4 linked regions of the Saccharomyces cerevisiae S288C genome follow. The gene in region 2 interacts genetically with the main gene of each other region. Each region holds a gene or a part of one and is shown on either strand. Other genes may lie near its edges.

What was found.
Region 1: of ORM1 (region 2) and CCC1, extra expression of one rescues a mutant of the other (dosage rescue), as found in Saccharomyces cerevisiae (one study listed by BioGRID).
Region 3: of ORM1 (region 2) and CRZ1, changing one suppresses a phenotype caused by changing the other (phenotypic suppression), as found in Saccharomyces cerevisiae (one study listed by BioGRID).
Region 4: of ORM1 (region 2) and YPK2, a mutation in one rescues a mutant of the other (synthetic rescue), as found in Saccharomyces cerevisiae (2 studies listed by BioGRID, with this or other methods).

What each region holds. Positions count from the first base shown.
Region 1 is NC_001144.5:572,647-581,007, reverse strand, and holds CCC1 (Ccc1p), read right to left. Parts: upstream 4,184-8,361; coding exon 3,215-4,183; downstream 1-3,214. Other genes in the region: U3 snoRNA-associated protein UTP13, read left to right, coding at 1-1,690; RSA3 (Rsa3p), read left to right, coding at 1,984-2,646; MSC3 (Msc3p), read right to left, coding at 4,671-6,857; COA4 (Coa4p), read left to right, coding at 7,090-7,542; peptidylprolyl isomerase CPR6, read left to right, coding at 7,797-8,361. UniProt on the Saccharomyces cerevisiae protein: Has a role in both calcium and manganese homeostasis. Involved in the transfer of iron and Mn(2+) from the cytosol to the vacuole for storage of these metals.
Region 2 is NC_001139.9:556,405-564,053, reverse strand, and holds ORM1 (sphingolipid homeostasis protein ORM1), read right to left. Parts: upstream 3,373-7,649; coding exon 2,704-3,372; downstream 1-2,703. Other genes in the region: long-chain fatty acid transporter ACB1, read left to right, coding at 4,060-4,323; CAX4 (dolichyldiphosphatase), read left to right, coding at 5,186-5,905; YGR035W-A (uncharacterized protein), read right to left, coding at 6,268-6,489; YGR035C (uncharacterized protein), read left to right, coding at 6,632-6,982; 60S ribosomal protein uL24 RPL26B, read right to left, coding at 7,382-7,649. UniProt on the Saccharomyces cerevisiae protein: Component of the SPOTS complex that acts as a negative regulator of sphingolipid synthesis. Acts by inhibiting serine palmitoyltransferases (LCB1 and LCB2) activity.
Region 3 is NC_001146.8:577,761-582,116, reverse strand, and holds CRZ1 (DNA-binding transcription factor CRZ1), read right to left. Parts: upstream 2,538-4,356; coding exon 501-2,537; downstream 1-500. Other genes in the region: SAM complex subunit SAM50, read right to left, coding at 1-197; KTR5 (putative mannosyltransferase), read left to right, coding at 3,344-4,356. UniProt on the Saccharomyces cerevisiae protein: Involved in the regulation of calcium ion homeostasis. Binds to the calcineurin-dependent response element. Transcriptionally regulates PMC1, PMR1, PMR2A and FKS2.
Region 4 is NC_001145.3:469,950-479,388, forward strand, and holds YPK2 (putative protein kinase YPK2), read right to left. Parts: upstream 5,505-9,439; coding exon 3,471-5,504; downstream 1-3,470. Other genes in the region: LAF1 (Laf1p), read right to left, coding at 1-2,403; YMR103C (uncharacterized protein), read right to left, coding at 2,953-3,315; phosphoglucomutase PGM2, read right to left, coding at 5,948-7,657; YMR105W-A (uncharacterized protein), read left to right, coding at 8,115-8,309; ATP-dependent DNA helicase YKU80, read right to left, coding at 8,352-9,439. UniProt on the Saccharomyces cerevisiae protein: Plays an essential role in the proliferation of yeast cells. Involved in a signaling pathway, required for optimal cell wall integrity, that acts in parallel with the PKC1-SLT2-dependent pathway.

The sequences.
Region 1 (8,361 bases), on a different chromosome or scaffold from region 2:
ACGCATAATTTATACAGCCGGCGGTGATGCTATCTTTCAGTTAATTGACTCTGAATCTGGTAGCGTGCTTAAAAGAACCAATAAACCTATAGAAGAGTTATTCATTATTGGTGTACTTCCAATATTGAGCAATTCACAGATGTTTTTAGTATTGTCTGACCAGACATTACAACTAATTAACGTTGAAGAAGACTTAAAGAATGATGAAGACACAATACAGGTCACTTCGAGCATTGCTGGTAATCATGGTATTATTGCTGACATGAGGTATGTTGGCCCAGAGCTGAATAAATTAGCTTTAGCTACCAATTCTCCATCGCTTAGGATAATACCCGTCCCCGATTTATCAGGCCCAGAAGCTTCGCTGCCTTTGGATGTCGAAATTTATGAAGGTCATGAAGATTTGCTAAATTCATTGGATGCTACTGAGGATGGCCTGTGGATCGCAACCGCCTCTAAAGATAATACGGCTATTGTTTGGAGATACAATGAGAACAGCTGCAAGTTTGATATTTATGCCAAGTATATTGGTCATTCAGCTGCCGTAACTGCTGTTGGATTGCCAAATATAGTTTCAAAGGGATATCCTGAATTTTTATTGACAGCATCGAATGATTTAACAATTAAGAAATGGATAATTCCAAAGCCAACTGCTAGTATGGATGTTCAAATCATCAAGGTATCCGAATATACTCGTCATGCCCATGAAAAGGATATCAATGCTTTGTCAGTTTCTCCTAACGATTCTATTTTTGCAACAGCATCATACGACAAGACCTGTAAGATCTGGAACCTAGAAAATGGTGAATTGGAAGCCACGTTGGCCAACCACAAGCGTGGACTATGGGATGTATCATTTTGCCAATATGATAAATTATTGGCAACTTCTTCAGGTGATAAAACAGTCAAGATATGGTCATTGGATACATTCAGCGTTATGAAAACATTGGAAGGTCATACCAATGCGGTTCAAAGATGTTCGTTTATTAATAAGCAAAAACAACTGATCAGTTGTGGTGCTGATGGCTTGATCAAAATATGGGATTGTTCTAGCGGTGAATGTCTGAAGACTTTGGATGGTCATAATAATAGATTATGGGCTTTAAGTACTATGAATGATGGTGATATGATCGTAAGTGCTGATGCAGATGGTGTTTTTCAGTTTTGGAAAGATTGTACGGAACAAGAAATAGAAGAAGAACAAGAAAAAGCTAAATTACAAGTCGAACAAGAACAATCGCTTCAAAATTATATGAGCAAAGGTGATTGGACAAATGCATTTTTGTTAGCAATGACTTTAGATCACCCAATGAGGTTGTTTAATGTTTTGAAAAGAGCTTTGGGCGAATCAAGGTCTAGACAAGATACCGAAGAGGGCAAAATTGAAGTCATTTTCAATGAAGAATTGGACCAAGCCATCTCTATCCTAAATGATGAACAGTTAATTTTGTTAATGAAACGATGCAGAGATTGGAATACAAATGCAAAAACACATACCATAGCGCAAAGAACAATAAGATGTATTTTGATGCATCATAACATAGCAAAATTGAGTGAGATACCCGGAATGGTAAAGATAGTTGATGCAATAATTCCATACACGCAAAGGCATTTCACAAGGGTTGATAACTTAGTTGAACAAAGTTACATATTAGACTACGCGCTAGTGGAAATGGATAAGCTATTCTAGGCAGTAAGTCCAAGATATTGAGCCTTTAAAAGCAAGGCAATAGCAACATATTATTTTGTAAACTAGATATATAAAGACAAAATGCATTGATGAAGCGGAAAGCTTAAAATAATTCGATATATAATTAGGTGCCTTTACGGGCATTGAAAACTTCTTTGCGCGAAGAGCTCATCACTAAAAATTTGCAAAAAACGAAGAGCGAAAACTTTCATATATTGTAGTAATATATACAAGAATTTAAACTGCCCACTTGAAATAGCACGGAAAGAACTAGCCATAATATATTATACAGGATGTCGGCAGGTGATATATCAGCCATAAATATCAAGTCTGTCAAAAAAAACAGAAGGAGGAAGAAGAGAAGAACAGCTGATGTTTCATCATCAGATTCTTCATCATCGGATCCATCATCAGAAAGTGAAAAGGAGGAAATCCAAAATGGGGCCATCGAAGAACACGTTGGAGAAAATGGTAAAAGTGATCATGTTTTCTCAAAAGGTAATGACGAAGACAAACAAGAGGACATTGCAATAGAAGTTTCGGATGTCGAGCTTACAGACGAAGAAAGCAAGGATTTGAAGTTAAATTCAAAAGAAGTGATAGACGATTTAACCAAAATTTCTTTGAGCAAGATCCCAGAGCCTACGAAATCTCAAAACAAGGAGGGTTTTATGAATGCATCGAAAATTGCCGAAAATATCAAGCTTGCGAGAGAAGAATACAATGAATTGGCAGAAAACTTTGTGCCCAAAGGGAAAGACAAGACAAAGTTAAGGGAAGAATACTTAAATTTACTTTTTGAAAACTACGGTGATGATATCAATCGTCTTAGAGCTGCCCCGGATTTCACGAATAAATCACTATCCATTTTGGCAGATGCTCTGCAGGAAGGCATAGGAATGTTTGATATTGGTGAACTAGAATTGGTCTTGAAAAATAAAGAAATGGAGAACTGAAAAATATTGCTTTAAATCTTTTTCTAAAAGTTTGTCATGTTTCCGCGGAGAATATATTGACGTGCACATTAATTATTTAGATAATTCTTCGATTTTTAATGAAGAGCGGTCCTGATCCAAGTTGTGCTTCATATGGTATAAAGCTGATTCCAGTATACTGCACGAGAAGTATATGTATGTATTTTGTAATTTATATAAAGGCAAAAAAAAGAAAAACACTTGGGCATAATGGAGGAGAAGATCTTATGACCTGATAGTCAAAGAGAAAAAGAAAAAAGCAGAAGGAGCAAAGAAAGGCGGCGACCAAATGACGAATTAGATCCAATGAAAAACGATTCAATGCGAATAAAGGTTATCATGGATCACCTGATGGGCCTCTTGGCAATAGAAAAAGAAACTAGTTTGAAATTCATTAATATAAATAAATTTAAAGAGGAGAATATAGAAACAAATTAAAACGTAAAAGAAATGTATGTCGAGAAAATCCAGCCCAGTTCCAAGTATATAGCAAAGCTTCTCAATCCCAAATTTCTTTACAATAAATATGTATAGTGTTGTTACTTTACACTTAACCCAGTAACTTAACAAAGAACCAAGCCGCACCTGCTGCTACACCACCCACAACAACCATTTCAACACCTTCCGTAACTTTCTTTGAAGTCGAACTGCCACTACCCATGGATAGTTTTGTCTTTACGTAACCAAACCAGAATAATGTTACAACCATGACTATTATAGAATAAATGAGACCTGTGCCCACATCTGAGACAAAAAAATATGGCACTAGTGGTACTAGCCCACCAAGTAGATAACCGCCACCGATAGTGACTGCACTGATTAGTTCTCTATTCTCGGCAGGTTCGTCTAGACCCCTACCGTACCTGATAATGAAGTCAACCATTAGCTCAGGTGTTCTTTGTAAATCTTTGATGAACGAAACGATTGTTTCGTCCGAGAAATTAGGGTTAATCTCTAACAGAATGTCTTCAATTTCTCTGTTAATTAGGTTGGAGTTATCGTAAAATTTCCTTTTCTCCTTCTTTACTTCAGCATGATAATAATCAGATTCACTCTTCGCTCCCAAATAGCCACCAAGGCCCATAGAAATCGCACCTGAGATCAACTCAGCAAAGCCACCGGTAATGACCAATTTCGCATCACCAAGTGAAGATAGACCAGCTGTTAGAGCAAAGGGGACGGTTAAACCGTCGCTTAGCCCGATAATCAAATCGCTAATTACGCGAGGATCTACTGATTGGAAGAACCCTAGGTTCGCCTTTTCGTTATCCGAACCGTTATCGCCATTCCTATTATCTTTCCCTACTGACATCGGTGAGTTTTCTAGATCCTGCGCTGAATTTCTACCATAGATAATATCCGAGCTAGATGAGGATAAGTTATCATGCCTTGAACTATTGCTATTACTACCCCTCAACAAGGGAGTTGATTCAGACCCCCCCAACTCTGAGGTTCCACCACTACCTTTCGCTTTCTGTATAAGGGTCACCACTGCGTTCTTTAGTGCTACAATGGACATAATATTTGTGTGCACGAGATATGGGAGGACAAAAAAAAAGTTTCTTTGTTCAATATACCAATAAAAAAAAAGAGTCTAAAGGCTTCGTTCTGTTATATTTCTATTCTATAAACCTAAAAAAAGCAAAAATTGAGAGTGATGTCGCTTTAACTTGATTATTTGAACTATTTTGTTTTGTATCAATTTTTCATATATAATCTTAATTTTACATCTTCATTGTGAGACATTCGGGCTAACAAAGAAAACAAAAAATGCGGGTCACGAAAGGGGTACCGAGCCAATGAGAAGAGGGTATGTTAGTAATATTAGTGAGAAATGCGGCGCGATTGGTCCAGACCGAAAAAAATCAATATTATTAAACTGTAAAAGTTATATTAAAAATTAAGTTACATTAGTAATTGAAGTTCACAAGAAGAAAAAGAAGAGAATAAATCTAAAACCAGGCTTCAAAAATTAGGGTTGATTGCAAAATTCGAGTAAACAACTGCTAACGGCTGCTTTTTTTCTTGAACAGTTTAGTGAAGAAACTGGACTTCTTGTGCTTCGTGGGAGGATCTTGTGTTTGAGCCTGTATTGTCTTAGTGGCATGTGTCGAAGTGACCATTGTTGGCTCAGCGGCAGATAATTCATTCGTCGATGATGTTGTTGGATCCGTGGCGTCTTCCTGACGCTGAGGGGTTTGGTCCTGTAAAAGCGAAGAAGAAGACTTTAGATTATCCTGCAGTTCCGGTGATCTTGTTCTCGTTGTTGAAGCTACTGCGGAGGTAGGTACATTGCCCTGACTTTGCCCATTCGAGGACGCAGTAGTCGAGTCTATTTGTTGTTGAAGGGGTGAAGGTGAATCTGTAACTACTGGATTCGTCATCACACCTTCGTTTGAAGATGGCTTTGCGGTTGTCACACCTTCCGAAATAGACGCTGCTGGGAAGCTTTCTTCAGCATTACGAGTAACTGGAGTTTGTTCGCCTTGTTCCTTCTTGTGCTGGTAGCCGTAGTTTTCTTGAGAGAATTGCAGCACTTTATCGAACATGGTTTTGAACTTATTTTTGGAAGAACCAGTTGTTTTTGTCTTCTGCAATGGAATGGGCTCGTATTCATGCACTTCGCTTTGGACTGGAATTTCAGAATCCCCTAAATAGTGCTGCTCATTGGGCGGGATGCTCCCAGTGGATCCCAGATGGCTAACGCCGACCTGACGAGGTTTAGCCGCCGTAGTGCTATTATCGACTGCTTCAGGTTGAATACCATGTGAGTTGTAATACCTCGCTTGTGCGATTTTCAAAGCTTGGTCATACATTTCTTTATCTGTTAGCCCTGTGTTTGCACTTTTAGGCTCTGGAACTGGGTCAACAGCCTTATTCGATTTAAAATGTGTAGACACAGAGTGATTGTGCACTTCATGGGGGGCGCTTTTAGTATTTCTGCTGAAGAAGGAACTTGTAAATCTTTTTGGTTGAACCTCGACATTAGATTTGACAAGATTAGCAGTCGCCGTCGGAGAATCACTACTGCTTCTCAAGGTCATTTTTTGACCCATCCTACTTTTCCTGGATTTGTTACTCCCGAGGGGGGCCGATGCGTTATCCGAAGCAGCATCCGTGTGATAAACGTTTCTTTTAGCAACCTCTAGTGCCTTCAGATACATTTCTGCTTCGGTTAATGGTTTCTTGGCCTCTGCTTCTGCGTTTTTCACGGCAGGCGGTCTTTTCTTCCTTCTTGTCGTCGATGCTTGCTTCCTTTTATTATGAATATATTTACTACTGGTCTGATGGGTGGGAGGAATATAATCTAATGCGTCACTGAAGTTTGATAAACTACTTTCTTCTTCTAGAGGCATAACGTCTGTAGAATACTTATGGTGGAAATATGATCCAAGTGGGAAATCTGGTTTTTCCACGTTTAGCTCTGAATCATCTTGTAAATGACTTTCGCTTACTGGGGAATATGGCTTTTCGTTATCTGTTTCGTTTTCCTCGATTATATCGTGAATGTTATCACTAGCTTGTTCCTCTAAAATGTCGTCATCTTGCAACATGTAATTTTCACTAAATTCATCGAAATGACGCTGCGAGTCACCTAATGGAACCAAATTCTTAGTCGTAGTCGTGGTTTCTACGTATTCATACCCATTTATTTTTCTTATTGTCTTTTTGGTAATTGATTGAGTCCTTCCTGAAGGGTCTGTTACTTGTGTAGTCTTTACGGTAATGGAGTTGGCCCTTGAATCGTTATTGTTGCCGGCCGTCGATTTGTTCTTACCGTAGTTTCTTCTGACATTCGCACCAGACGTCATAGAATTCATACGGCTCCCATTAGTAGTATAACCGGGCGGGTGTAAATGGTACTCTCCGCTCCTTTGCGACCTCAACGAGTAAGTCTTCTGTGAATACTGCTTAGCTGCTGCCCTGGACGTTGGCGGAGCGGCAGAGGATGTGGAAAGCCTTCTTCCTGGGCTCTTTACCGAACTTCTTTGTCTCGGTATTGAAGGTGCATGACTAACCAGCGAGTGCGACCTTGAGTAATTGGTTCGATCCGGTGATGCGGCAGAAGCAGCAGAGGCAGCAGCAGCAGAGAGCTGAGGACTTTTGTTATAATCTTCATGGTTCTGATAGTAGTAATCATACCTAGATAAATCAGGTACCCTCCTGTCCCTCTTTGTAAAACCAAATACCATTTTCAACTTTCTTGATCAACAGAATGTCTTTGTTTGTTTATTCTAGTGAAAAAATAGAAGTAAAAAGCAATCAATATAAGCAACGTGAAACGATCGAAGGAAACTAAAAGAGGTTTGATGTTAGAAGAATTGATTAACACCAAATCAAGCAATTTATTGAAGTATGGGTCCCTGATGTTTGTCCTTCTCGTTCTTGCTTTCCCTCCCCTCTTCTCATCCATTCGCTTCATTTATGCTTTTATTTTCTTCTTTTTTTTCTCACAACAAATGTCCGAAACAAAAAAAGGGGCCTCAGCCATTAAAGGTAGTGAAAGGCACTTCTAAGAGTTGCGCCAAACAAGGGAAGATTAAAGGGAAAGAAAAGCTCTGGCAGGCTAAAACTGGCAGACTGGTCATGAGTGAAACTGGCGAAACTTCAGAGTATTATAAGCAGGCGCTGGAAGAATACAAAGAGGTCCAAGAAGACGAAGACCCGGATGTGTGGGACACGAGAATATCCAAGACCGGATGCTACGTAGAGAACCTCGCATTACAGCTGTGCCATGCCGAAACAGGTGACTGGAGGCAGTGCTTCAACGAGATGGCGTTATTTAGGAAGTGTTGGGAAAAGAATGGTAATAGAGAGCGCGTAAGCACAGTGGACGTGGATGGGACGACCAGTAAGGATTCGGAAAAGAAGAAATGAAAATCTAAATGTCGTGATGTATAACTTGTATATAATAGACAGCTGCAGTGATCGAAACACATTGTTTCCCTTTATAGAACATAACTGTTACGCTTTTGAACGGCATTTCTATGAGCTTCTAGAATATTTTTCCGCCCTAGCTGGAGAAAGTTCAGACAGAAAATTATTTAAATAAGTCGAATATCAGAGGTGCTGATGCGCTCACATCACATAGAAAACTGGTAAGACAATATTCAGGCGATCAAGGAGTAAAAATGACTAGACCTAAAACTTTTTTTGATATTTCTATTGGAGGTAAACCCCAAGGCCGTATAGTTTTTGAGTTGTACAATGACATAGTGCCTAAAACGGCTGAAAATTTTTTGAAGTTGTGTGAAGGAAATGCTGGTATGGCAAAGACTAAACCTGATGTACCATTGTCGTACAAGGGTTCCATTTTCCACAGAGTGATCAAAGACTTCATGTGTCAATTTGGTGATTTTACCAATTTTAATGGTACTGGCGGTGAGAGCATATACGATGAAAAATTCGAGGATGAAAATTTCACTGTTAAACATGATAAACCATTCCTTCTATCCATGGCCAACGCCGGTCCAAATACCAATGGATCTCAAGCTTTCATAACCTGTGTTCCTACACCTCATTTGGACGGGAAGCACGTTGTGTTTGGTGAAGTGATTCAAGGTAAAAGAATTGTTCGTTTGATTGAAAACCAACAATGTGACCAAGAAAACAACAAGCCATTGCGTGATGTAAAGATTGATGACTGTGGCGTGTTACCTGACGATTATCAAGTGCCAGAGAATGCCGAAGCTACAC
Region 2 (7,649 bases):
AGAATCTCCTACCGAATTCCCTGACCCATTTAAAGAACTCCCACCGATAAATTCTCATCAAACTAATTCCAGTTTGGGTGGTATTGGTGACTCTAATGCCTATACTACTATCAACAGTAAGAAAAGATCATTAGAAGATAATGAAACTGAAATTAAGGTATCACGAGACACATGGAATACTAAGAATATGCGTAGTTTAGAACCTCCGAGATCGAAGAAACGAATTCACCTGATTGCAGCTGTAAAAGCAGTAAAATCAATCAAACCAATACGGACAACCTTAAGATACGATGAGGCAATCACCTATAATAAAGATATTAAAGAAAAGGAAAAATATATCGAAGCATACCACAAAGAAGTCAACCAACTATTGAAAATGAATACTTGGGACACTGACAAATATTATGACAGAAAAGAAATAGACCCTAAAAGAGTAATAAATTCAATGTTTATCTTCAACAGGAAACGTGACGGTACTCATAAAGCTAGATTTGTTGCAAGAGGTGATATTCAGCATCCTGACACTTACGACTCAGGCATGCAATCCAATACCGTACATCACTATGCATTAATGACATCCCTGTCACTTGCATTAGACAATAACTACTATATTACACAATTAGACATATCTTCGGCATATTTGTATGCAGACATCAAAGAAGAATTATACATAAGACCTCCACCACATTTAGGAATGAATGATAAGTTGATACGTTTGAAGAAATCACTTTATGGATTGAAACAAAGTGGAGCGAACTGGTACGAAACTATCAAATCATACCTGATAAAACAGTGTGGTATGGAAGAAGTTCGTGGATGGTCATGCGTATTTAAGAATAGTCAAGTAACAATTTGCTTATTCGTTGATGATATGATATTGTTCAGCAAAGACTTAAATGCAAATAAGAAAATCATAACAACACTCAAGAAACAATACGATACAAAGATAATAAATCTGGGTGAAAGTGATAACGAAATTCAGTACGACATACTTGGCTTAGAAATCAAATATCAAAGAGGTAAATACATGAAATTAGGTATGGAAAACTCATTAACTGAGAAAATACCCAAATTAAACGTACCTTTGAATCCAAAAGGAAGAAAACTTAGCGCTCCAGGTCAACCAGGTCTTTATATAGACCAGGATGAACTAGAAATAGATGAAGATGAATACAAAGAGAAGGTACATGAAATGCAAAAGTTGATTGGTCTAGCTTCATATGTTGGATATAAATTTAGATTTGACTTACTATACTACATCAACACACTTGCTCAACATATACTATTCCCCTCTAGGCAAGTTTTAGACATGACATATGAGTTAATACAATTCATGTGGGACACTAGAGATAAACAACTGATATGGCACAAAAACAAACCTACCGAGCCAGATAATAAACTAGTCGCAATAAGCGATGCTTCATATGGTAACCAACCATATTACAAGTCACAAATTGGTAACATTTTCCTACTCAACGGAAAAGTGATTGGAGGAAAGTCGACAAAGGCTTCGTTAACATGCACTTCAACTACAGAAGCAGAAATACACGCAGTCAGTGAAGCTATTCCGCTATTGAATAACCTCAGTCACCTTGTGCAAGAACTTAACAAGAAACCAATTATTAAAGGCTTACTTACTGATAGTAGATCAACGATCAGTATAATTAAGTCTACAAATGAAGAGAAATTTAGAAACAGATTTTTTGGCACAAAGGCAATGAGACTTAGAGATGAAGTATCAGGTAATAATCTATACGTATACTACATCGAGACCAAGAAGAACATTGCTGATGTGATGACAAAACCTCTTCCGATAAAAACATTTAAACTATTAACTAACAAATGGATTCATTAGATCTATTACATTATGGGTGGTATGTTGGAATAGAAATCAACTATCATCTACTAACTAGTATTTACATTACTAGTATATTATCATATACGGTGTTAGAAGATGACGCAAATGATGAGAAATAGTCATCTAAATTAGTGGAAGCTGAAACGCAAGGATTGATAATGTAATAGGATCAATGAATATTAACATATAAAACGATGATAATAATATTTATAGAATTGTGTAGAATTGCAGATTCCCTTTTATGGATTCCTAAATCCTCGAGGAGAACTTCTAGTATATTCTGTATACCTAATATTATAGCCTTTATCAACAATGGAATCCCAACAATTATCTAATTACCCACATATATCTCACCTTCAGCATCTTTTTCCCCATTTTTTTACTTGTAGTATAGATTGTTGTTTACGTGCACGATTAGCTTCTTCAAACCAGGAAACAGCAATGTATACATTGGCAACTTGGCCGAGTGGTTAAGGCGAAAGATTAGAAATCTTTTGGGCTTTGCCCGCGCAGGTTCGAGTCCTGCAGTTGTCGTTATTTTTGAGTTTTCCGATGTCTATTTTGTGATAATAGTATTAGAAGCAGTACGTGAAATAGTGCTAATACTATCTGTTATTCTTTTTGAATAGAATATGATTATATGAATTAAATACAATTTCAACAAATAGGTTTAGAAGGTGCATTAATATGGAATTTTTTCAATTTTTGTTCACATTCTTTTTCATTTACATAAATGAAGTCCGAAATCCGTTGTTGGCTTTTGAAATTTCAAAGCGTTAGTGATTTGGCCCAGAAAATATAAATATAGCAAAAACATCTAGATACAAGATTGAAATAAACTATGTTCAACTAATTTGGGCGCGACCTGTGATACCTGGGATAGAAATCCTTAATCTATGAGTAACAGGTAACTTTGGGACAACAGCACCAAAGGTTGTCAAAAAACAATTCCATGAAAACAATTTCAAATCATAGTGAGCATAATGAGTACTAACTAAGAATAGGGCGATCGGGACACTAATCAAAAATTTTCTTGAAGGAGTATATAAAGTCTCGTCGTCAATTTGTTCCCACATCGTCAAGTTGTCATAAGCACCACCATTGAAATCGAAAGGGGTACCCTTAATCAGATGGAACATGACATAGGACCCAATAACATATGTCATATTAGTCAGAGTCCACGACCATTCTGTGGTAACACCAGGAAATAAATTATAAAATAGTTTCAGCAGTATGATAATGACCACATGAATAATCCAAGCGCCGCGTTGGTCTACCCAAGTAGCATTCATATTTGGTAGAAGTTGCTGGTCATTTTCATCTTCAAAAGTCTCCGGTTCCACATGTGAAATTATGCTGGAAGAACGCCTTCTTCTATGATCTTTCACAGGTTCCGTCGTTTTAATTGATGAAGATGCACTGCCTGCAGAAGGAAACGGCTTAAGGTCCGTTTGATTTCGACTATACGAGGTAGAAGCCGCCTCAGCAGTTCCTTGATAATCTAATTCGGTCATTAACTAAATGGATAAAAATGCAATGAAATACAAAATAAGAATAACTCTGCTTTTTAGAGAATATGTGGTAAACAACAAAAGGTAGTTAGGGAAATTCAAAAAGGGAATATCAAGCAAAGGAAGATGTTATCGATCAGTGAATTTTTCTTGTTTCGTGAATCCACTGAAATATCTGCATCTGAAGGCGAGATCTCATGATAGTTTTCTAAGGTCTTAAAGTGAAAACATAGGCATTTCACTATACCCGATAGTTGTCGGGTAACGGCTTTGAGTCTACGATGGTTTATATACCGCAGCTCCGTTAGCAAAGGAATAGAGGAAACTCGAAACAGGTAGTCTAGCAATTTGTGTAGGGACTAAACATATTTCGACTATTCTCTATAATCCGTTCCTAAACTACATGCCACAAACTCTCGTATTGAAACATTCCATTAAAAAATGACCGTCGGAAGAGATTACGGCCTTGGTGCCTGAAGACAGGTGGCGCTGGCGGCCCTACGCGCTCTCTGACACGTCCGCAAACTCAACAGCTCCAGGCCAACTCCCCAATGACCGCCATATATATAGCTAGCTTGGATCAATTGGTCTGTCTCGGAAGCAAGTACGTTATGTACATCATTTCACTGTGTGAAGCAAAAGAAGGAAGACTAAAACTCTAAAATTAGTTAAACTAGTGTTTTCAGCAAAATGGTTTCCCAATTATTCGAAGAAAAAGCTAAAGCCGTCAACGAGCTACCAACGAAGCCCTCCACTGATGAATTATTAGAATTGTATGCTCTGTACAAGCAAGCCACTGTAGGTGACAACGACAAGGAAAAGCCTGGTATTTTCAACATGAAGGACCGCTACAAGTGGGAAGCCTGGGAAAACTTAAAAGGTAAATCCCAGGAAGATGCCGAAAAGGAATACATTGCCCTTGTTGATCAACTGATTGCCAAGTACTCCTCTTAGAAAAGGGGTATACTAGCTCCATGTAAGGAGTTTTGGCCTAGCTTTCCTTGTTACTATTCTATTATTATATTTTATTGGCTGCAAAAACGTGACTTATGTACATTTATAAATGCCCATATCCCTTACTACTCTCCCTGGGGACAAGGCGTAATAACTGTTAATAAATGCATATACTCTGTTCTATTTAAATTCTCGGGGTTCGCTGGAATATTGAATCACAATTAGGGAGATTCGCATGTAATTTACGCCGAGAATGATACTGATTTGTGTTGAATATGACAAGGTTTAGCGGAAACACGCTCTTGAAATTTTTAAAGATATTTTCATGATTTATATACAGACTGATCTGTATACATTTTTATATTGTCATACATAGGCTTTAATAACTACTCAGTTTTTTTTGATGGCGGCAGAAGCAGCGCTTTCATTGCTCTACACAAATCCGCAATTCAAGTGACAGACGCCAAACTAGTGGTACAGTACACTTACTGAAGCGCACCATGTATACCCTGATCTACATCTAGAGCTTGTTCAGTTTTTCTTTATGCTTTTAATTACGCCAGGAAGAAAACCGTTCTTACGTGGTGGATGAAATAGGAGAATTCGGGTTTCTGGGAAAACTTAAAATTTCTTGTTGGAAAAGTAGAAAGAAAAAGAAAAGTTTGCCTTCTGAGAAAATGCTACATATGGTAGAGACATCAATCGATTGCTCAACACGCGTTAAAAAGGGGAAAGTGATTGCCACTGTGATCACTTTAAATCATTTCTTCGTTCTCATTCTTTTCGTCTAATTTTCTTCTCTACCACTCATTATACCAGGCATTTTATCTACATCAAAATTTGTTTTGAATCGGATCATATCATGAATAGTACCGCCGCTGCAATAAATCCAAATCCAAATGTTATACCATTCGATGACACATACATTCTCTATGATTCGCATGACTTTCTATCATTCCTTAGTGCATATTTCTCGCTGATGCCCATCCTAGTGCTAGCTTTTTATTTGTCGTGGTTTATCATCACAAGAGAGTTAGAAGCCTGCATTGTAGCCTTTGGCCAATTGATGAACGAAATATTCAATAACGTGATCAAGAATATAATAAAACAGCCACGCCCCGTATCGTTCGGTGCGTCGTTCCAAAATGACACTATAAGATCCGGTTACGGGATGCCCAGTGCACACTCCCAATTCATGGGGTTTTGTTTTACCTATAACTCTCTGAAGATATACACTTCCTGGAAGAATCTAAACTTCTTAGAAAAATGCATTTTTTCTGGTGCATTGGCTTTATTATCGTTTTGCGTTTGCTTTTCCAGAGTTTACTTGCACTACCACAATTTAGATCAAGTAATCGTGGGATTCAGCGTGGGGGCACTGACTGGATCACTTTATTTTTTTATAGTTGGCATCATAAGAGAGCTTGGTTTAATCAATTGGTTTTTAAAACTACGTATTGTCAGATTATTTTACATGACAGATTCTTACAATCTGGCGCCTTTGACATTGAAAGAGAATTACGAGGCGTATTGGAAAAGAATAAATCAGCGATCTTTCAATGATAAATCCAAAAGGGATTAGGTTGAACATTTCATTTTTCTTATTTTTTCATCTATTTTAGCGAGGCGATCTTGAGCGTTTGTGTAACTGGATAAAACTTGGCAAGCTGGAGTAGTCCTTATTTCTCATAAAGAAAGCCGAAAGCCTGCTCTCCTACAGTTATTAATTAAGAACGCTCGTTTTAAACAGTTACTGTGTAAAGCGACGGTAATCGAAAAAGTATGTGACATCGTGCAAAAGAAGATAATCAAAACCATGCAGAACGTAGAATAAATGTGAGTTCTATCACTTGCGGAGATAATACCCTCTGACGCCGCGGGGCCGATTGTTCCACGGAGGGAAAGAATCGGCCCTCGGGTTTTACGAGAGCGCCGCGGGTGAACTCACTTTTTTCTCGAGAAGAAGTTTCCTACGGCAGAATAAGACCCTTTTCCACGGATAATCAGCGGAGCTTCTGGACATAATAGATGGTTTGTGAAAAAGCTTAAGGAAAGCCGCGGATTTAGCATGTCACCCACACTTAGATTACGAAAGCAAGGATTGCAGAAAAAAAGATGAGATACAGTTTTGAGGGCAATATATAAAATATATAAATATAGCAACATTCCCTTCTCTCTGTTATGTCCACAATACTTCTAAAAGTTGTAACATATATCTATACATAAAAACTTGTAACAAACATATAATTAAAACAACTAGTGACAAGACGGAAGTTATAAGTTATCTTCTCTACAGAAACAATACGTAATGTTACTCACACCAGCCAAGACTACAAGAACGGAAGACTCAGCAAACTCAACAGATGACAGCAGTAAAAGCAGTAATTCATTCATGCGTGCCATAGTTTCTTCCCTTATGGTTAAGCCCATAACATCTCTGACTAATACAGTCACATGCAGACAAAGTTCCCATCACAATAGCTCTCCAAGTAAAATCACAAGATATGATTTAATCAAAGCTGCTGCTGAAAATGACTTGAAAAGGAGTAAGTCTCAGGGACGAGAAAAATCCAGAAGAAACTCTAATCGTAGAAATAATGAAGAAATTTTTGTGGCCAATACTGCTTCAGAAATCCAACGGACTAAAAGTAGCATATAGCAACCCTGAGGTCAATGTGCTTAACTACTTCTTTGCATCTTCATTGTCTCTAAAAAGATTCATATCCTCATATCCATTCGCATCTTACTCATCTTCATAATCACCCTATGTACATATATATATTGTCATAAATATACTAATAATTAACAATCACATTTTAATATTGGAAGTTTTCTCATTTTCTTGCATTGAATTCATGCATCTGCCGCTCAGCTAGAAACAAGCGCATTCGTCTACCAACCAGCCCTTGAGACCCGAAGGCAGAATGTGAGAAATTACAATTTTATTTTTAAAGAAACTAAACTAAACTAAATTGAAATTGATAAAAAATATACATAAAAGAAACACAGGATTTATTTATTGTATTTTTTGTATGATCTATGTTAAAGTCGAGCTAGTTTATTCCAATTTACCACCCTTTCTTTGGATCAAAGCCTTTCTGTCCTTGTCCAAGTGTAACTTAGTGATAACAAGCTTGGATGGGTGCAAGTTAATTGGAACGGAAGCACCGTTGACCTTTTCCTTGGTGACCTTGTCAACTTGAACAGCAAACTTCAATCTGTAAACAGATGAAATCTTACCTTCTTGACCCTTCTTGGAACCACGAACAACCAAGACTTCATCGTCTCTTCTGATTGGCAAAGCCTTGATACCATATTGAGCTCTC
Region 3 (4,356 bases), on a different chromosome or scaffold from region 2:
TTCACTAGCTGCCCCAAAGTAATGGATTTCATAATAGTATCATCTAAGTATGCCTGTAGTACGCTAGGGTCGATATGATCTGTCCCTGTTGTTACTACACCCGCAACCCTAATTGGCTTTAAAGTAGAACTCTCATTGAAAATTGGCATCGGGCTGTCTAAGGAAATCTCATTATCAACACCAGATGATGAGGTCATGTTGAATTGAGCTACTTTTGTCTATTTGGCATCAAAACTTTTGCCACGTAAAACGCATCCTCATACAATAACTTTTTGTTACTTGCCATTATTTTCGGCAGCTTAGAAAATTCAGACGGGCGTAAAAACTATTAATCCGTAAGAATATCACTGTTTTATACTATTTCATTACAAAAACAATAACCAAATAATACCTTTGCATGGATTAGATTAGCCATAATTTCTACACTGTCATTATGAAATTACATATTTATTATATAGAAAAAAAAAATTCCTATTCAAAGCTTAAAAAAACAAAAATAATTAACTCTCTTGTCCCGATTTCTCCTGTCTGGCTTCTTCGTACAAGGGAGTGATGCATCTTCTACCACTTTCAGTTTTAAAATGCCTACCAAGAGCATCACTTCTTGCAAACTTTTTGCCACAACCCCAGGGTTTACCGTCCTTCAGCTTACCACCGCATACATACCTTTTCTTACCTGTATGCAAATCTTCGTGTCTCTTTCTATCATGTTGACGTGCAAACGCCTTACCACAAATAGAACAAATAAATGGCCTTTCATTTGTATGCGTTCTTAAGTGTGACTTTAAGTTATAAGGTCTTGTAAACTTCTTACCACATACATCACAAGCAAAATTCGCAGGATTTTTCCTATTATTTGTTACACTGTCTAGTTTTTCTAGATTGTCATTTTTCTTAACAGAAAATGTGCCATTATCGTTATTTTCGTGATTATCATCATTTTTGAAACCAACTTTCTGCTCAAATTGGCCCAAGCTATCTATGTCTAGAAGTATGCCAAGATCTTTGCTAGTGTCATCTAGTTCATTTTTAATATTGACAATGCCCGATTCAATTTTTGGTTTACTTGTTAACAAATTGTTATTATTATTATCCTCATTAAAATTGCTACTGTTAATGGTGTTATAGCTAGTTTTGCTATCATTGTCATAGCGCTCCCGATTATTGTCATTTTCACTGGATGGTAAAAGATCTGCCATCTCCAATAACTTTTCCCTATTTGCACTTATAGATTTAGCTTTTTCATCGGGAGATATGCTTCTTGATCTCGAGGATCTCCTGCTAGTGAAACTATTATTGGAAGTTTGAGAAGATCTTCTTCTTGATTTTTTAAGTTTCAATTTTCGACCGTTAATGATATCTTCGAAGGAGCGGTCAATATCACTGAGAGCTTCGTTGTTGTAATCATTATCATCTGGACGAAGTAGATTGTTATTGTTAGTAGCGCTATAACTTTCGTTATCCCGAACTTTTAGTTGTAACGTTCCGTCATCTTCGTTTTTAACTGGGAAGTGTCCCTCATTGAATTCCTGTATAGAAATGATGGGTGTTACCGGGGCAGCATGAGTGGAAGGAGAAGGTGTGGAAGAAGTTGGAATAGTCAATAACATCTTTTGGTTAGTACCGACTTTACTTTTATTAATGGCAATGGTACTGTTTTGAGTGTCAGCGGTATTAATAATTCCGTTATTACTGTTGTTGAAATCACTGTTGTTTGATGCTGATAAAAGGTTATTGTCTGAATATGTTAAAGATAGCAAGTCATCCAACTCATCAAGGTTTGAAATATGTTTATAACCATGTGAATTTACGGGCAGTAAATAATTTGAGTTCATAGATGCGACGCTCAAAAGATCGTCAAAATCATCGTTATTCGCGGTTAAGTGAGACATCGCAGGTGAAGAAACTAAGTCCTGTGGATACAAATAAGGCGTATGATAGTTTGATTCTGTATCGCTATAATTGGAGTCAATGCCCGAGCTCCTAGTGGTACCATCGTAATTAGATCTTGGAGATAAAAACTGGTTTGTGAGGGATGGCCGATGTTGATTATCAGCAGGTGTTAAGATATCGTCCCACTGAAATGTATCAGATTGTTCGACTTTTAAAGTTGGTGTTTGCTTCTGCTGTTGCTGTTGTTGTTGCTGTTGCTGTTGCTGTTGCTGTTGTAACTGTTGCTGTTGTAACTGTTGCTGTGGAAGATCTGGTTTGTATAGACTTTGGTAATTCAAATCTGCAGAATAAGAACCGCTTGACGGAGACAGCAAGCTGTTCACGTTAGAATCAAATGAGTCCGGGATGCCAGAGGAAAGGTTCTTTGATATTTTCTCCGATGAATTGGCGGAATCCATCCTCATATCCACATCTAAGTCCAAGTCCGATAATTGGAACGTATGTGATCCTGAATTGCTACTATTCCTGAAATTATTACGTCTGTAAGCGCTGTTATCGTCTATATCGTTTTTGTTGTTTATACTTTGCTCCTCTCCATTACTACTAGTCATGTAGGAAGCCATATTTCCGTTGCTGAATGACATCTTCCTTGTACTGTCTGACGAAACTTCCAATCGAGACTAAAAATACAACCTAGTTTTACTCGCGTTCAGAGTGTATAATCGTACTAAACTGCTGTGATGGCTATTGCCTGCTCTTTTGATTGTACTTTATCTAGCACTTCACAAGGTTTATAAACTCAATATCGGACTAATATGATAAAAAAAATTCAGGTGGGAAAAGTGAGAGGGTAGGCAAGAAGGTCGAAAGGAAAACAAAAAAACGTATCGCTGATATATAGCTCGCTCATGCAAGGCACAAATACAGGGGTAGGGTCCTCGACGTAGTAGACATTCTGCTTCTATAGATATTAATTAGTATAATGTTATTCAAGATAGCTTAGCAATTGTTAAATGCGCGGATGTACTTTTCAGCCCCCAACAGAGGGGCGAAGTTGCAACTAAGCTAAAGTGCAGTCAAAGCTGGAGCTCAACTGCTAACATAATAAGATGTGACTATAGTGCGCCTGGCAAGTTGCATGTTGCACTATATTACGACCAGTAATTTCCCTTGCCGAGCATATATGCCAATTGCCATTACGTGGGATATGGAAGAGGTGGGGTGCTTTTAGGTATTTGCTTTTTCTCTCATTTTTTGGATAGTACACTTTAAGCATGCGGTGTGTGGATGATGCCAAGAAAATTGAAAAATTTGGGCAGGCATTCGAGAAAGGGTCTTCAAAAAAATGCGAAGTAGTAGATATGAGTGCTTCCGTGCACAAATAGTCTTGTTCAATGGAGGTGTCATCAATAAATGTGTCTCAATACGGCACATCGTCATAAGGTAGCAGATGTTGCTAATAAGAAGGACGATAAATGCATTTCTGGGATGTATCCATTGCAATCTTACGGCGACGTGCATCCTGATTGCCTTCGTCATAACCATGTATGTGGTACTTGTATCTGAGCCTGCATCCGTAGACGGAACTATGGGAAATTTTCTTCCGTTTTCCAAGATGGATCTTGCGACGAAGAGGGACAGACCCTTTTATTCGAATTGTGTGAATACTCAGGACTATTTGTTGAATCCATCGTACATCAAGCAGAATGCCTCGTTTGTCATGCTAACAAGGAACGGGGAGCTAGAAGATGTTATCAAGACTATCAACAGTATAGAAGAGCATTTCAATCAGTGGTTCCACTATCCATATGTGTTCTTAAATGACCAGCCGTTTGAAGAGGACTTCAAAGCAAAAGTACGTGATGTTACAGTGGGCGCGCTGGTGGAATTTGGCACTATCGATGAGATATCTTGGAATTTTCCCAGTGACGTAAAGGATACGTTCGAGTTCTACAACGCAATTGAGGATCAAGGTGATAGAAGCATACTTTACGGAAACTTAGAATCATATCATAAGATGTGCCGGTTTTATTCAGGATTATTTTACAAGCACCCGCTAGTACAGAAGTACGAATGGTATTGGAGATTGGAACCCGATGTTGAGTTTTTCTGTGATATTACCTACGATCCCTTTTTGGAGATGCTCCGAACTAATAAGAAATATGGATTTACGATCATCATCCCCGAATTGTATTGGACAGTCCCAAATTTGTTTAGACACACTAAAAGCTTTATCAGTCAAAAAGGCGTTACGCTTGGGTCATTATGGAAACTATTTACAAAGGATTACGACATTTTTGAATCCGATGATCCGGAGTTACGGGACTGGATCAACTATGATTTTCAGGCCAAGGCTAAGATATCCGAAAAGATAGCCATCGAGCAGCTTTTGAAAAAGGGTGATGATTTCCAACAGATAAATGATGACAAAGAGGGAATAATGAATTTGATACATAAGGCTCG
Region 4 (9,439 bases), on a different chromosome or scaffold from region 2:
AACATTGCAACGGATAGGTAAATTCATTGCGCTCGTTGGAGTGGTAGGCCCATGTGCATTGGAGAAAATAGATGACATGCTTTCCCTTGGTGTTCTTGGCTGTGCATTACTGCCGAGTGTTTTTAGTGATGTACTGCTTTTGGGACATATATTAGAGTATCCACGTCCCGTTGCATAGCCTTTTCCAGTATTAGTATACGCCGCTGCCGGTTGGCCAGCCAAGTTTGATTTCGCTCTCGAGTTGAAGCTTCGACTCAAAGAATGCAAAGAATCAGAACTGTTAAACCTTCTCCGAACCTCTCTATTGTATTCTTCTAGTTTGAGTAACACGCGCTTTCTTATAACAGAGGGCATATCTGCTCTAAACACACGAATAGTCCCTACGTTATCAGTACTGATCAATATCGTTCCAATTGCGTCAACGACATCTGGGATAGCACTGGTGGCGGAAGCATTAGAAATTGAGCCTGGTTTAGAATTGTAGCCCAAAGACGACTCTACATCTGACATTATGCCATCGTCGTTACTCCGACTCAAAACATCGAAACTATCGGATGTCTGAAAAAACTCTAGAGATAGCTCGCAGATAACATCGTTAGACAAAGATAATGTTTTCGAAGTTTCTGGCGGTGCAATGCTAACACAAGTAACAGGGGCATTGTGTGCATGAAAAGAAATGTAATCCGTATTTTTGATATAATGATCGTTGCTATGATGAGGCAAGGGAAGTAAGTTAGTAAGTTTTAAATGATGATGTGGTTTTTCTTCGTTATTCTGGCTGGAAGACCTACTCATTGATTTACTAAATATGCTTCTCAAACTTCCGGACCGAGCCAATCCCTTTGGTTTCCTTTTAGGTTCGTCTTGATCATTCTCTCTATCCGAAGACTTTAACCTCCAGCCGTAAACCCAATGGTCATCACTACTATTTACAACGATTGGCTGACCATGCCAGATGGACAATTGTGCCTTGTGTTGGGAAGATCCGCTATGGAAGCCTTTCAATACCTCTAGAAGCTTCCTCTGTTCTAAGTCAAAAATTCTTATCCTCGAATCATTCGATGTAACTACTAAGCGGAAAGAATTGTCCAGTTGAGATCTAAAAGCTTGCAAACCCGTCACACGTGGACCATGACGAATTTTTGAGTCAGTTTCCGTGACCATGACGTGAGCGTTTTGTTCTTGTGTTTGTCTATCAGCTACGTGAAATGAAGAAACTGGAGTGAGACCTCTGGTCATCAGAATATGAACGTATCCATTAAATGTTCCTATTATAGTGTATTTTCCCTCCTCAGGGGATAATGTAACAGATGTTATTAAGTCTTGACAATCGTACTCAAAGCTAACTTCATCATCCAGTATAGACCATAACCTGCATTTGTGATCCAGACAGCCGCTAATGAAAAATCTATCGTCGGTGGGGTGAAATTCCACACAAGTGACAAAATCAGGATGTATGAATGTCTTAAGTGAATTTTTCCTATCGGGATGCCATAGTTTTACTGTCTTATCCATCGATGCTGACAAAATAAAATTATTTTTAGACCAATTTATATCCAGAACATCTTGCACGTGTTCTTTATACAGTCGCAAAGGCGTTGGGTGAAAGACAGGCGCATACAAATTCAATAATTTTTCCTTCTCTTCGTATTTCTCTGTAGCAGAATCCAAAAATTGTTTTTCTTTTGGATTGTTCAATGAACTGACCTGCTGTTTGATCCGCATCGACTTGGCTCGTGCCTCTTTATTTGATTCCGCACTCGAGTCCAATTCGGCTCTTTCAACTGGAGAGCCAATAACTTTCCATATTCTTATTTTACCATCTTTGCTACCAGTGGCCATAAATTTTCCATCGCGGCTAAACTTTGTACTCCATATAGCTTTAGAGGTTGGTTCAGATGATTTGGAAGTGGAGGTAACCGTTTCACCTTCGTAGGCCATTAGTTCTTGCGCGAGAAACAATCTTCTAAATTGTTTCAGGTTTTTCCGACGTTTCAACATTTTAATGTATTTTGGCTCTCTCAAATAGTTTTCAAATTGCTCTGTATCAATGGAATTGAAAGGGTAAAACTCATTGACCCTAAGATTCGAATTTAAAGTATTGCCTCTCTGTAAATGTTCCTTTAGTCTCATAAATGAATCAGTGGCGTTGCCGTTGTTACTATATTTTAATTTGTCATTTGTATTATTAGTTTTTGTCATTCTGAACTTCAATGGCTCGATATCTGCAGAATATTCAAGATTTAGTTTGCTTTTACTTTTACTTTCACCGGAACTGGACTCGCCGTCGAAGCTCTCTTGATGCGACCGACTCTCCTCTTCAGATCCAGTGGTATTCGAGGAATTGCTGAATTCAGAATGTACCTTGCTTATACTTGTTTTATCCTCCGCCATATTCGTCATATTTCTAATTCTCGTACTATATTATACGCCACTACCGTATACAATATGCCAAGAGCTCAGCAACTGCTTTCTATTCTTTTTCTTTGATTGTCTTTGTTCCTCTTTTCCCTCTTTCTTTTCCTCCTCTGTTTAACAAGTTGGAGAGAGTTGCAGTCTTGTTCCCTATACGGTCCAGCTGTGACTTGTACGAACGCGTATTGTATCCCAGGAAGAAATAATGATGTAACTCGCTTACGAAGCTTAAGAAAGGGCAAAAAAAATGTGTCCCCCCTAACTGCGAAAGTGAAAAAAAAAAAAATTAATGCGTTGAATTTACACAGTTCTATGTATAATTAACTGCTACGATAGAAACTGGACAGTAGTAAGAAAGATTGGACTAGGCATCACCCAGACTTTACTTTTTCGGCATACATATCTATTTATATATAGTTTAATACGTAAATACAAATATATATATACTGTAAATTTTAATCATTAAGCTTTTCTTTTTTTTTTGTTCACGCTTTCACCCTGTGAGGCGAATGAGGTTAGCTTTTTCCCTTTACGGGACTAGGTAAGGCTCCCCATGGCTGAGCCCGCGCAAGGAAATCCAGGATCATCCGCGGAAGAAATAAGCTGCTCCCGGCCCAGACTATGTAAGAAAAGTGGCAACAAACAGAAAAGCGAATCTTTCCTTTCAGGCAATGCAAGGGTCCTTTGCCGTTTGGCGAATTCCGGTAACCTCGACTTGCGCCCCGCGGGCTTCGCTTTGACATCCGCGGGTATAAGCGTCCGTCCTTCGGCCGACAACAGGTCGGTCTTTGATCTCAATTCCGTAGATGGAAGAATTCTGATAATGCTGTAAAAGAAATGAATAAGCAACATAAGTCGTGTGAGAGTTGCTAAAAGAAGAGCGCAGCCTCTGCGGACCATTCTATTTTCTGTAGTTCTTCTTGTCCCCGTTAACCACAATAGTAACGGAGTGCGTATCGCAATCTACTTGAACTATCCATTTTTGAAAATTGCAACCTCTTGCGGCTATAGCTATAAATTCCGTCCGGCTCGGCTCGGCTTGCTTCGGCTTGCTTCTAACTAATGCTTCTCCCCTGCGAAGGAGAATCACCCAACTGTTCGTCACCAATGTACGTCCACCCACCAAACTGCTTTTGAATACTTGCACTTAAGTACTCGTCCACTACACTATCGATCGGTTTTTCCTTAGTGAACTCTTGATCAAAATTTGCAGTATCTATTTCACTCTTTACAATTGGCTTGTAAGGCGGAATATAGCCCTTCAAAAGTAGCTTTTTCCATGAGATGTCTTTAAAGAAAGGATGGTTACGAATTTCATCTGTACCGTTAACGCCGAGTCTTCTGCTTGGGTCTCTGCTTAAGAGGCCAATTAATAGGTCTTTTGCCGCAGGGTCAAATCCATCAGGAAATAGTAGCGGTTGCTGCAGAATTTTCTTGTACATAACAGGAACGTTCTCATCATAGTATGGTGGCAGCCCTGTCATCATCTCATACAGTAAGATACCTAATGTCCACCAGTCAACTGTTTTAGTATAGCCCTGCCCCAACAAGATTTCTGGTGCCAAATATTCGGGAGTACCACAGAAAGTGTCTGTTTTGTCATTATCCTTCATGTTCAGCTTGCAAAGCCCAAAATCACACAGTGCAATATGTCCTTGGTAATCCAATAGAATGTTTTCAGGCTTTAGGTCACGATAAATGACGTCAAGTTTGTGTAATGAATCGAGAGCACATAATAGTTCTGCAATATAAAAACGGGAGCGTGCTAGACTGAATCGTCCCTCGTGTTGTAAATGGTAGAACAGTTCACCGCCATTAATGAAAGCTAATACTAGGTACAACTTCTCCGGAGATTGGAATGAGAACTTCAACGGAACAATAAAGGGGCAGTCAACTCTTGCTAGGACAGTCCTCTCCGCTAAAGTATGTGTCACTTCACATTTCGATACAATATATGCTTTTCTCAGAGCCTTCAAAGCGTAAATCTTTTGGGTATCTTTTTTCCTTACTTGCATCACTTTGCCGAACGAACCCTTCCCGATAACCTTCAATAGATCAAAGTCATCAATGGAGAGAGGCTTGTTCTTAGAAGGTTTGTAGTCCACCGTGATATTTAATTTACCATATCCCCTTTCTAAAGAAATCCAATGGTGATTGTATAGTCTTATTTGGGCTGCAGAATCGATTTTTAAATTCAAAGGTAAATGGAAGGAGTCCAAATGGATATCCTGATTTGTATTGATTTTTTTTAAAATCTCCTTCAGTACTTCGTCCTGCTCGCCAATCTCCTGTTGCCAGTTTTTAGAGGGTAAAAGTAGGGATGGAATCCTTGCAAAGACATCGATTTTTAAAAATCGTAATTTTCTTGTTACATCAAATGTCGATATTTTGTTAAACACTGGTTGCTCCATCGTTCCCATATCTGGACTAATAGTAGTAATAGAATTATCAAATTCAATTGTAAAATAAAGTAATGGGCTTGAATTTGTTGACCCAGGTAACAATATAGAGGAAGGAATGAATTTAGTGGCAAAAGCTCTATCTATCAAGCCTTCCCCTGCTGAATCTTGATCCACTCTCTTGTATCGTGGTAGCTGCCGCATTATGGCTGCAACTTCGGAAGCGTCATTGGATGATGAAGTAAGGATGCCGGAACTTAGTAGTTTTTGTAAAATAGTAGAGTTAGAGGTGATAGGGAAGGGAAGAGTAAAATCTTTACCAGAATACACCTTCACTGTCATTAGTCCGGATTCCGAACTCGGTCCCTGCGTCTCAGTAGACGACTGACTAGCTTTCCTTTCGGAAGCCTTAGAATTGTCATTTCCTATCCCCGATGGATTCTTGAAGGATGCATCATTACGTAATTTTGGAGAACTTAAGGAACTTGGGAGAGTCTCATTTGTATTGATCTTTCTTATATGGTGTTCGTGTTCATGATTATGATTCTTCGGGCTACCATCGTGATGTTTTTCTCCATGGTGGAAATGAAACAGGCCATTACCCCACGATTTTTCATTTTCATCTTCACTACTCCCATCATCTTCTTTGGACCTTCCTAACTTAAACTTGGATATTCGCCAGGAATGCATGTTACTATATGTATATTTGTATACGCGATAATTTGACCCAGTTGAACAATTCTGGTTTAGGAGCACTTTGGCTGAATTTTATCATTTTATTTATAAATCTAAGGATGACGGCCATTTTACAGATTTCTCGAGGGAAATATAATAAAAAACTCGGGGTAGGTAATCTGAATTCGGGGATACGCTAATTTGGGAAAAATTCGTGAATTAGATATAATTAGAAACAGCACTTATGAAGAAGATACTGCGATTAACCAAAATATTCTCCTCCTTATGAAAAAAAAAAAAAAAAGACTCAGAAACCTATGCAATCGTTTGCTAATATGTCGAAATATGGATCTATTAAGTATATAAAGTATGTGTTCAAAAAATTGAAATTTTCTTCTTTACCGTTAATATTCATTGAAAAAGGTGAAAATCATTAAGCCATTAGTAAATCATTCGTTTTAAGTACGAACCGTTGGTTCTTCAGTTCCTAAAACTTGTTTAAAGTTCAAGAACTTGATGACCGAGTTAATAATTGGCTTCAAGTATTCTTCAGCTGTCTTTTGGTATTGTGATTTATCATCGCAGTATTTTTCAATGTACAATCTAATGGTAGCACCTGAAGAACCTGTACCTGACAATCTTAGAACGAATCTTGCACCATTGGAAAGCTTGACATATAAACCTTGATGGTCAGAAACAGAACCGTCCAAATCTGTGTATGAAAAATCACCACAATCGGTGACCTTAAGAGACTCATCGGCTGGGAAGGCGGAATTAACAACACCCGATTTGGTAACATATGCTCTCAATTGATCGACAATCTTGTTAGCTTTTTCTGTTTCAACTTTTTCAAAATCATAACGAGTGAAGAAAGTACGGCCGTACTTTGCCCAGAATTCATTCTGTATCGTCTTAATAGAAGCTTCGTTCTCCGGATGATGCTTGTTGTAAATGGCCAAGATGTTCAACCACGCCATAATGGCCCAAACACCGTCCTTTTCCCTTACGTGGTTGGAACCAGTACCAAACGATTCTTCACCACAAATAGATAATTTTTTAGCGTCGAACAAAGCACAGAAAAATTTCCAGCCAGTTGGGACCTCATAACAGTTTAGACCATGGGCCTTGGCAACACGGTCTATGGCTCCTGAGGTAGGGAATGAACGGGCCAGACCATATATACCTTGCTTGGCGAAATATGGGATTTCAGCTGCATATTCGGCAATAATTGCGACGGAGTCACCTGGAGAAACGAAAGATGGGCCGTAACCGTAAATCATATTTCTATCACCATCACCATCGGATGCAGCACCAAACTCAATCTTTTCACGATCTACTCTTTTCACTAACGAACTGGCATAAGTTAAGTTTGGATCTGGATGCATACCACCAAAATCCGGAGAAGGATGCCAGTTTTGTAAAACCTCATCCGCCGGTAAACCAAATTCATCAACGAAAATAGCCTTACCGTATGGTCCAGTTACACCGTTCATACTGTCAAACAGTAACTTCCAATTCTTAGTAGAACGTTGATTATCGATGAATTTCTTGATTAAGTCGAAATCGAAGATTTCCTTCAAGAAGTTGACATAATCTTTTGTAATATCGATAATGTCAACGAGTAATGGACCGTATTTCTTGTTCTTGCCTATCGTACCCAAGTCTAGTTCTGGGAAGTCTTTGATAATCTTATAGCTGGTAAGCTTTTTGGAAATCTCCCAAATAGCATTTGTGACGGATTCAGGAGCAGGACCCCCATTGGATAAGTTATACTTAATACCCATGTCATTTTCTGGACCACCTGGATTATGTGAGGCGGTTAAGATAATACCACCAGTACATTTTTCCTCGTAGGTTCTCATGATGTGAGAAGCGGCTGGCGTAGACAGAAGACCATGCTGGCCAATAACTAACTTTTTAATACCGTTGGCAGCACCGATAGCGGCAATCTTATGAAGAATGACATCATTGTAGTAACGCCCATCACCACCGACAACAAGAGTGGCACCTTTAGAACCCTCTGGAATAGCTTCCATGATCGATTGAATGAAATTTTCTGTGTAGTTAGGTTCGTCTTTAAACACCTTTGTCTTCTTACGCAAACCAGAGGTACCAGGCTTTTGGTCTTCATATGGTTTGGTGGGAACCGTTTCAATTTGAAATGACATGTTATGTTAACTTTTGTTACTTTTTTTACTGAGAAAGATTGGTTGATCTTCTTCTTATTATCCTATTGTTCAAGCAACGCTGAAGAAAGACATGGAACACTATCTTCGAAAATGAAACAATATTAACGGTACCTTTTTATATTTCCCACATTGTTCGGGCGGCAGTCATCCAGATTCTGAAAGAATCAACTATTTCTTTTACACTTTTCAACCCCTGTTTGTTCCTGGAACTGCACATAACAAAAGTATAACGTCCCCTTTCACGTAAGTTCCCCACGAAAAAAGTAGTGCGCGACACCACCCCTTTTCGTGAGCTCCGCGCTTCTCTTCACCGAGCCTAAGTTGGGCCTCTCCCCCCTAGAAAGAACAAGTTGGCCCTGTTGTCCTTAGCTCGCAAGCTCAGGGGCAGCAGCGTGTGTTGAGATTAGAGAACCGCTCGACCTCAACGGATGATAGTATGATTTTAGTACATACAGGGAACGTCCTCTACCCACGTTTTATTGTTGTTGCATTTACTTTTGAACAGCGACAGGGGGGAAGGTGTAAAGGAGGAAAAGCAACCTGCATGGCTAGTGTTCAAAGTTACAAGGTAACAATGCAAATCAGTAGTATGACAATTATTTACCCGCTATTTATTTTTTTTTCTCTTTAACTGTGGTGACGAAAACATAACTCAAAGGATGTTAGACCTTTTTTAATTATTGCTATTGTTTGGACTTCCCCTACTGTGTTGTTCACCGCGCTTCAATAGCGTTTCTAGGTCCGGGATCTTTTCCCTCTCAAGCTCAGTTTTTAGTTCGGAGTCGAGTTTTAATTTGTCTACTTTCTTGATGCCGAGCACTTCAACCAATTTTGTGCTATCAAATTTCTTGTGCGTGTAAGGACTTATTTTGTTTTTCAATGAGTCAGGAAGCTCTGGGATTTCAAATTCCCTGGAATCATTGATCATCAGTTGGTGAATCCATTCCAGTAGCACCTGTTGTTGCCTGTAGACAAAAACCGTGGGTATTCTAAGAGGATCCTTTTTGTTTTCCTCTTGGTCTTTATTTAAAGAGGGAAGTGGGAGAGTGGTGTCTGTTGTTACTTCGCCTATGGGTTGATAGTAGTTGCCTAACGGAATCTCTGGTAGCTCATCTGTATCCATTGAATCTACAAATTGTTCCATAAGCTCATCGATTTGATGCCCGTCTGTTTCCTTTTTCAGCGGTACCCCGGATGTAGTTGTTCGATCCAGAAGTTTTGGAAAATCAGTTACCCTCTCGTCTTCCGCGAATGGTAATCTACACAAGGTAAGGCTCTTAACAAACTTCTTCTCGGAATTAATGTTACTGTGCTCAATTAGAACGGGACACAATGCACACATATTCACTTCACTGTCTTTCTTGCTCACATATCTTGCAACAGCAATTTTTCTATTTTCTAGCATAACATCCACTAGAGCACTGAAAGCCATTAAGTCAGATTGACAGCCAAGTCTTGTGTCGGCGGTAATGAAGGAGGATTCCGACGTCAAAAAGTACCTTGGAAGAGCTTCTCTATTCAAAAATCCTCTTAAATCCAAGCCTGGAAAAGATTCATATACAGTTTGATCGACTAGAACGGACGGTAGCACTACGTAGTCTGCACCATAACGGTATGCCTTCGTTACAGAGTCTTTGGAGATGGTCACGGGAATGTATGACGATCCAGACTGGTCATCTTCACTGACATTTTTCTTATTTCCTTCGTTGTGAATTTCATATTCGATTATGGATTTGACCCCCACATACCTTTCTTTCTTCT